Arabidopsis thaliana: one gene and its partner. Each later gene encodes a partner of the first gene's protein in a complex. Each region holds a gene or a part of one and is shown on either strand. Other genes may lie near its edges. The genes, in order: AT3G58700 and ATL5.

Region 1 (4,252 bases):
GATACTATCTTAATATGTCACATTTGATGACGTTTTGTGGATGAATTTGGCCAGATAAAAACTGCAATTCATCTGAGATAAAAAGTAAAAATAAAAAATAAAAAATATATATGGGTCTAGAGACAAATGACTTTTAATATTTTATAAATGTGTACAGAAATTTGGGCTGGAAATGGCTTATAATAAATCTGTGTGGGATCAAGTCAAGATTCCTCCAGTCCTTTATTAAATTGTAAAATCATAAATAGATAAAACTATAAAAGCCTGTGTCATAATTATTAGTTTAATTACTCCATTATTGTCTCCAACTTCTTCTGTCAGAATGGAGCCAAAACTTGTATTTTCTGGTTGTATAGGTTTTCTGATTAGTTTATGTATGTAACGCGTGTTTACACACACAAAACGTATGTAATGTATATGTTTGATTTGGTCACTTCTGATCATGATAATTAATGTCGAACCAATCAATAATTCGCTCGAATCTGATGCAACTGAGAATTGACAATGAAACATGATTGGATAATGTTTTTGAAGTTGTTGTTATGTTAAATAATGTACAAGTACACAGGGTAATTATATAATTGACACGTCTTCTAAATATTAAACATATAGACGCATAGTCAAAGATTCGTTTAAAAATTTATGTAAAAATGCATTTTACCTCATGAAAAACTATAACGCAGTTATTAACTATAACACCAGAATGCGATTATAAGTCATAACACAAACGATTATTGTTGAACTAAGAGTGTTATTTTACAAAATTACGGTTTGGGGATGAGTTATGTAGATATAGAGAATGTTCATTACCTGTCGGAGTATCGAAAATTCGGAAATGTGTTTTAGACCTTTAGTCAGCTTTTGTCGGAGTAGTAGATACGCAAAATATATAAAGGAAAATCAAAATGTCTGAAGAACAGAGAAGCAAAACAAAACTGAGAAAATACGATTTGAACCCAAAAAAAACAAAACAGATGATAGCTATTTGTTTGACACATTTGTTTAACCAGTGATGTTCTGAGACTTGTTGAGAATGACTCCTTCATATTTCACCTGGAACCATTTCATGGCATCATCTTTCGTCACTCTATGCTGGATTCCAACACGAGTCTTGCATCTTCTGCGGCGCGCAACACGGTAACCTGGTCGCTCAAGAACAACATAGAAGTCCATGCCGTAGATTCCAGTCGATGGATCATACCTGAGATCAAATATATATTTAAAAACCCCGTACGTTTGATCACTGGTTACACAAAAGCCACTCTAAAGTTGTTCTATGTATGTGTTAGAAAGAATGAGACTTACTTGATACCCAAATCAATGTGCTCTTGAATACCAAAACCAAAGCAACCAGTGTCGCTGAAGTTCCTTCTCAAGAGTTCGTATTCTTTAACTTTCAATCCACTCTCAAGGAGCTGCATTGCCTTCTCTCCCCTGACAGTCACATAGCAAGCAATCTTCTCATTACGTCTTATACCAAAAGAACGAACAGTGTATCGAGCTGCAAAAGAGATAACAAGTGTTAAGATTTATGTCAAAACTCTCTTCATCCAAAACAAAGTTACAATCATCTTCCAAGCAATTGATACAAAACAATTGATAGAGCTACTGATTCTCACTACGATTATCTATGGATCCAGGCCAGTAACAATTAAAAATCATACACCAAAAAGTAAGAACTAATGACCTTCAAAAAAACTAACTCATCGTCCTAAACTTCAGAAGCATCGTGCCCCTGTTTTAGTCGAGATCACTAACTATCTCCAGCAAATTTTCTCAGAGATCGAACGATGAATTGATACAACTTAGAAAATAACTTACCCTTGGAGAAAACAGGAGTCTGACCACTCAATTGTTCCAACACCTACCAAGTTATCGAAGAACTAATTCCATTAAAATCGAGCATACACACAGGGTTGATATGAAAACCAGACAAAACAGATAAAAAAAAGTGAAACCTTGGAGGCTCTGGTGAGACGATCTCCACTCTCACCAACGGAGATGTTGAGAACCAGCTTCTGCACTTTAATGTCCCTCATTGGGTTCGATAGCTTCTTCTCCGACGCCTGAATTCAACCAAAATATATATCATCAAATCTCTATTTGAAACATCAAAAAACGTGAAACCAAAGAAGAGGAGTTAACTGCGACGGACCATTTCGGATTAGGGTTGCGATATATCTCCGGCCGACGGGAAAACACGAATCGGAAAGAAGAAACGGAGATGAAGCGGCAAACTATATAAACCCTAGTTCTAATTAGCCTTCTAGGGTTCTAAGCAAATTTTACGAGTACTCAAAATGACGATTGTACCCTCCTTTCTCCATCAAGCCCACGTTCCCTCACGTGACCTTTTTTCTCATGAACTAATATCATTCTCGTCTCTGTAGAATATAGTAATGGGTCAGGATTGGCCCAATAACTAGTAGCCCATAGAGATTCGAAAAAGTTTATTTGATGATTATCTCTATGACTCCATGTTTGATCACTCAAGTGTTTACATCATTGTCTGTTTTAGTAAATACCGTTACATAATAAAAGCCTCACATTTCGTCTTCTCTGATTGATTTATTCATTGAGAACCTATGCTTGCTTTACCCGGAGAGTTAGGAGACCGAGCCAAGCTAAAGCTACTAGAGCAGCCACTAAGCTTTGAAGCTGACCTACGGTTTCTCACTAATGGAACCAGTGACTGCACCACATCTGCCATTAAGGGTCTGTAGTCAGCTTCTGCTTGAACACACATTGCTGCTATTGCTGCAACTTGAACAACTTCTTTCGTAGAGTATTGTCCTTCGAGTGTTGGATCCATTATGTCTACTACTTTGTCTCTATCAGCCAATTGAGGCAAAGCCTGGAGATAGGAAAAGTTAAGTTATTAGAGCAAAGACAAGAAGAAATGACACAAGAGCAGTTTGTGAAAGGAACGCGTACCCAAGAGACAAGAACACCTTCTCCTGTAGCTCTCTTCATATCTACTGGAACTCTACCGGTTAGTAACTCTAACAGGACAACACCGTAGCTATAGACATCCGACTTTGTTGTCAAGTGACCAGTTAAAGCGTACCTGACATAAGATATTGAAAATATTGGTATTAGTATCCAACCTATCAAAGTTAACTGATGGAAACAAGAACAAAGAGATGATTGAGTGAAAAACATACTCAGGAGCTACATATCCTTGTGTGCCTAATACACGGGTAGAAACGTGTCCACCAGCTTTATCTGATCCGACTTTAGCCAATCCAAAATCTGAAACTTTGGCATTGAAGTTTCTGTCCAGCAGAATATTGCTGCTCTTAAAGTCTCTATGAATCACCGGGGGTGATACTTGTTCATGGAGATATTCCAAGCCTTTTGCAGCTTCCACAGCTATTCTCATCCTAGTTTCCCAATCTAATCTTGGTGGGACAGAACCAGACCCTAAATGCAAGAAAAAGAGATTTTTCTATCAAATCCAACAAGAATTCCAGACGTATATTCACCAATTCGTAATTATTATACACTATCTAGGATTCATGTTCAAATTGTTAGCATCTAGACAGATAGACTAAATTTGGAGTCTTCAGATGACAACTTCAAACATGCAGCAACTTCTAACTCTACTGGAAAAAGAAACTTACTGTTGGGAAGATACAGGTGTTCCTGCAGACCACCATTTGCCATGAACTCATACACAAGCAGCTTATGACTATTGTCTGAGCAATAACCAAGAAGTGCCAACAAGTATGGTGAACGCAGACGGCTCAGTAACTCAACCTGGCACCAGATACAAAAAATTGATCAATCAAGTAATCAAAAACGCTGCAAACAGCAAAATGTGCATAAGCTTTGAAAAAATAAAGATCAAAGAGTAAGCTAAAAATAATCAAACCTCCATCTTGAATTCTTCTTCCCCTTGCTTTCCTGCATGATCCATGAGCTTGATAGCAACTTTTCTGCCATCGTTAAGCACACCACGATAAACCAAGCCAAACCCACCATTCCCAACCACATTAGACTTGCTAAATCCACCAGTTGCTGAATGCAATTGCTTAAAGGTGAAAATTTGCAACCCATTTTCAGTAACATCTTGTACTTTCTGACAATCGCCTTTTTCCTCACAATCAAACCCTAAAAATCGACAGGTAAAACAATAACAGATTCAATACCCAGAACATAAATCGAACCCTAATTGAACAATTATCTTCCAAAATTATTCCTTAATTAGAACCAAATTTCAGCATCCGGCGTAAGAACAAGAAATACAGGT
Region 2 (4,989 bases), about 12 Mb from region 1:
CAGAATCATCTTCTCTGTTATCTTGTTGGAATTTGAATTTTTTTAAAAGGGTTAAGAAGCCTATTGCAGCTGCAAGAGTACCAAGGAAAAAAGAAGAATTCATTAGTAAGGTGAAAAAAGGATCTAAGACTAAGCATACATGGTAGAGGAAGGATTAACAAAGAGACGTTGTGTATATTGAATACAGATCGTTGACTCTGTTGGTAGAGAAAGAGAAGCTTCATGGCTGTTACCTTTCACCATAAAAATTTATGGAAAATTTTGCTAAGGACAAATCGTGGTCCCTTTCATGTAGGGCTCCACCATTCATGTAATTTACTTGGAATCCAAATAATACACATCATATTCTCGATTATATACTAAAGAAGTCACGAGAGAAATTAAATTACGTATTAGTCAGCTTCCAGGATAGTTCATACTTCATACTACAGAGCAGATAAGTCATTCCTACTTTGCATAAGACAGTTCCAGTACCCGATAAGGCTACATATAATAATAGCTCCAAGAGAATACTGAGTTATTTCCTTAAACAGTGATTTAGCTCTAAACTTGTAGTAATGTGATCTAGTTCATCTTGTAGCAATGTTTTCTAGTTCATATAGATGAAGTCTAACAGTTCTTACATTTAACAATAGCAAACTACAGATAAAATCAAGTCATCAAACTATTGTCATACAAATTCTTGAAAATTATGATGAAGGTAATAATAAGATAATGATACTTCAAAGAAAATGTATCCTCAATATCAAAATCCTCGAACACAATTAAAATGTGAACACAAAAGCTGAGTGTTTTAGTCTGAAAACAGAAAATTTGAGGCATTAAGCTCAAAAGATAAAAAACTACAAGAGGCATGAGATAAAGAAGGCTTGACTGATTTACTCTTCATCGTCCTCATCATCATCATCACCACCTGCTCCATTCAATGCCTTGACTCTCTCGATCAACTTGTTCTTCCTCTCCTCGTAAGTAAGTTTCTTCAAGTTGTACCTGTTTTGTTAAATGGAAGACCAAATGAGACACCAATACACCAACAAGACAAGAATATAGATAGACTAGATTGATTCTGTTTCCCTACCTCTTGTGTTGCTTGGGAGCAGGTTTCACGGTTTTCTTTGGGTTGGGGTCAGCACGAATAGCTGCGTGAACCTTCTTGTACAACTCCTCAATGCTCTCAGCTTCAACTCCTTTCTTGATGTAAGCACTGAAGTGAGTTTGTAACTTCTCTGGCTCATCTTCTCCCAACAGCTTCATGTAGTTTGAGACATGGCCACCATAGATGTAGTTCCTGTGGATTTCAGCATCAAGTTGCTTGTTCTCCTTGTGGAACCCAGCAAATCTCTTGTCACTGTGAGGGATATCAAGACCACCATCCAAAGCACCCTACAGATTCAAACAGCGAACCAAAAGGATATTAAAGAATTGCCAGTATAAGCATTTGCTCAAGAAGAATGACAAATAAGAGCACTCACAACAAAAAAAGAGAAACAAGTTAATACCTTAAGAGCACCGAACACACGGTTTCCTGTTGTGGTCCTGATAAGTCCAACATCAAGAAGAGCACGGAAAGGTCTCCTTGAATCAGTTGGCTCAACGGAAAAGTCTTCTCCAGTGGCCTGATTCATTGTGTGACTTGAGTTTCTAACAAGAGACAATAACAATGCTTCTTATTATCAAGATGAAACCAATCACACAACATACCTCAACGTTTCCCTCATACTCGTCATCCATTTCCAACATCTTTAAAACACGGCGAGCCAAAAGAAGGCCAGTACAGTAAGCTAGTTCAACAAAAAAAAATTACACATAAGTAAGCCATAAAGACAGAATCAACCATATTAAATTGGAAAACAATACCAGATGACACATTCAATACCTGCAGCATAGTTTGTAAGACCAACAGTGAGACCATACTGAGGCAGTTCATGTGCGTAAGCAGAAGCTTTAACAATGTCACCAGCAATGCTTGCAGATACAATCTGTGCCACTATGTCTTTGTTGGTAAACCGGACAACAAAACGATACTTAGGAGTATTGTACTTGTTCTTGTCTTGGTTGATAAGACGGATCCTTGCCCTGTAGTCAGTCTTTCCATCTACACAAAAATAAAATAATTTTCAGAAACAGATTGAAACAAAGAGAGAACAAACAATATCATCAGAATAAAACGAATCAACAATCTATTACCTCTTCTTCTCCTGAACTTCACTTGGTACCTCTTGAAGTAAGCATTCGACTTGGTGGACTTCACAAACACCTACCAACAACAAATCATCTTATTTTATTAGTCTAAGATCCAACAATATAAAGGTTCTTCGATGGTAACAAAGATCTACGGTAAGAACTCCATTGAATACGTATCAGTGACCTCTAAAACAGAACAAAAGCAAAGTCTCAAACTTTTCCTATTTCAATTCTCAAGCAAGTTATAAAACCAAAAACCCATGAAGAAAAACATCTACGAAGGTGGATAGAACCATAGGATCACGAATTCTCGTTACGATATCTAATCAAAAGCAATGCAGGAGATTTCTATATGAAATGAAGATCAAAACCCGATTTTCTTAAGAGAAGATTAAGAAGAAACGATTGAGAAATGAGAAGAGATAGAGATTAAAGCTAGGGTTTACCATTGTTTGATTCCTCTAGCAACGAGAGGCTTTGCTGTGAGATTGTGAGTGAAGAGAAGCAAGAGGCGGAATGACCTAAATGCGACATCTTATAAGACAAAACCCTAGAAAACTCCTCGTGGGCTGAAAAATGTTAATGGGCTTTACTAGTTATATTATTAATGGGCCTATGGGCTTTTACATTCACACTCCAACGAAATCCAATTTTCTACTGAAATGGTCTCCTCCTCTCCTCGTTTGTCTATAATCCATAGGAACATTTCTCTTGACCATCTTGATGCAATGTTATTTCTTTGATCTTCTCATCTACGGGTTCTTTTTTGCTTCCTTTGTTTCATATAACCTTAACAGTGACCAACTTCAAATAAACTTTGCTCTATTTTATTGGTTCTGTTTCAATCAATTTGATCTACCTCTGGACCAATATCGAGTGAACTAGCCATAAAGTAGTTGAAACGTAAGGTTGCAACTCTATGAACGTTTCTGGATATGTGGTTAAGACTTTTTATTTGGTGAAGGAGTAAAATGTGTGTTTGGCCAAATGAGTAAATCTCTATTTGGGAAGATAACAATGATTTCAGTATCTCAGCCAATCCAAATGAGTGGATGTTTTGAAACAGTTTGCTATTCGCGGGAGAATTTCACAGCTTCAATCACAGCAGAGAAGTCGAGATCTCCTAGTCCCAAGCTTCTCGCCTTCTTAAAAGCCTGTCGAGAACCGAAACATATATTTTAAGATTCAAGCTAAGAAACCAATCTAGAGGAGGGAGAGCCAATATGTTATTGTCTCTGAGTAACTAACTAACTAACTGACCTCGTTTGCAGCCGCGGCTACAGGCATGGAAACCGCGTTTTCATCGCCAAGAGCAAGAGCTAGCCTCATGTCTTTCTGCTGATGTTTCAATGGAAATGCTGGTGGGTAACTACTCTTGTTCATTGAAGGTCCTTTCCCCTTGAACATCGGGTTAGTCATTGCTCCCAGATCCTGCCCATAGCAGAAACCGATTCAAACCAACACCATTATTTCAGAGCTTGCAAAAGTTTGATCACCTCACCAGAATATCCAAAAGAGTGTCAGAGCTAAGTCCACTCTTGTCAGCCAATACAAGCCCCTCAGAGAATGCATTCATCATGCTGTATCAGACGAAAAACAATAAGATCATGAAGCCATGTTCCATTCCTACTACTAATGGTAGTAATTGTAAAAGAGACGGGACATTCACCTTCCCATTATCATGTTCACTATTAGCTTCATTTTAGCTCCGTTTCCAACTTGTCCCAAGTAAAACGATCTCTTCCCCAAGACATCAAAAGCTGGGATTGATTCCTCAAAGAGTGCCTTACAAAAAAGGATTAAAACACAAACGGATTATAGCCGCACATCGAGAGCTCCTTCCTACTAAGTCCAACTAAAACAGTTCTTGAGATCTATCAATCAATCCATAAGTACAGTTTTGAGTTGTACCTTGTCACCAGCAGCAAGGATAATGAGTTGGCCATCTTCAGCTGGCTTTTTGCTACCTGAAACCGGACCTTCTACGAACCGACCACCCTTCCCGGTGATTGCCTACCAATGCGCAACACAGCTCAATCAAACTAATCAACCTTCTTCTAATCTTATCATCAGCATCTAAAGTACAAAAGATTCAACCTCATTGATCTTCAAAGAAGTCTCTGCATCAACAGTCGACATATCGATATAACCTTTTCCTTCACATATCTGCTCCAAAACACCGCCTTTATCGAAAACAACCTAATCAAACAACTACTTCATATCATTCATCACCAATGCTAAAACACACACAAAAGAAGCAAAAAAGGATTTCAAATACCGAAAGAGCAGCACAAGGATCAGAGAGCATAGCAATAGTGTATTTGCATTTCTTGATTACTTCAGCTGGACTCTCACATACTGATGCACCATGCTCCACAAGCTCATCACACTGTCACAATCATCAAAAATTCCCAAAATTGCATTAAATTACTCAAAAAGTTTCCGACTTTATCAGATCTGAACAACTAAAACTAAATCAGAAAACCATAATACCAAAACACAATCAAAGACAAAAAAAAAAAAAAAATTACCTTGGAGAGTGTTCTGTTCCATACAGTGACTTTGAATCCATTCTTCAATAGATTCATTGACATGGCTTTTCCCATGATTCCCAAACCCAGAAACCCTACTTCCATTTTATCTATCTTCTGCGATTATAGTGCTTACTTACTGCTTAGTGATGATGGTCTGAGAATGATAAAGCCGGAGCCTTTTCTAATCAGAGAACCATTATCATCAAATACACTTACTTTGAAAAGGAAGTATTTACAGTTTACTCCCTACAGTTTGATTCTGTTTGCATCT

What was found.
Region 2: AT3G58700 (region 1) and ATL5 share a complex: the UniProt entries of both Arabidopsis thaliana proteins name them as parts of the large ribosomal subunit.

Annotation. Positions count from the first base shown.
Region 1 is NC_003074.8:21,709,567-21,713,818, reverse strand, and holds AT3G58700 (Ribosomal L5P family protein), read right to left. Parts: upstream 2,375-4,252; 5' UTR 2,159-2,374; coding exon 2,156-2,158; intron 2,067-2,155; coding exon 1,959-2,066; intron 1,865-1,958; coding exon 1,822-1,864; intron 1,502-1,821; coding exon 1,306-1,501; intron 1,202-1,305; coding exon 1,003-1,201; 3' UTR 715-1,002; downstream 1-714. Other genes in the region: AT3G58690 (Protein kinase superfamily protein), read right to left, coding at 2,573-2,854, 2,935-3,067, 3,165-3,423, 3,624-3,759, 3,875-4,113. UniProt on the Arabidopsis thaliana protein: Component of the ribosome, a large ribonucleoprotein complex responsible for the synthesis of proteins in the cell.
Region 2 is NC_003074.8:9,268,695-9,273,683, forward strand, and holds ATL5 (ribosomal protein L5), read right to left. Parts: upstream 2,772-4,989; 5' UTR 2,634-2,771; coding exon 2,631-2,633; exon of another isoform or gene 2,481-2,630; coding exon of another isoform or gene 2,478-2,480; intron 2,258-2,477; coding exon 2,188-2,257; intron 2,096-2,187; coding exon 1,877-2,095; intron 1,782-1,876; coding exon 1,702-1,781; intron 1,617-1,701; coding exon 1,500-1,616; intron 1,384-1,499; coding exon 1,079-1,383; intron 991-1,078; coding exon 879-990; 3' UTR 583-878; downstream 1-582. Other genes in the region: GLYR1 (glyoxylate reductase 1), read right to left, coding at 3,255-3,338, 3,445-3,615, 3,686-3,764, 3,854-3,969, 4,096-4,197, 4,282-4,383, 4,463-4,573, 4,716-4,820. UniProt on the Arabidopsis thaliana protein: Component of the ribosome, a large ribonucleoprotein complex responsible for the synthesis of proteins in the cell.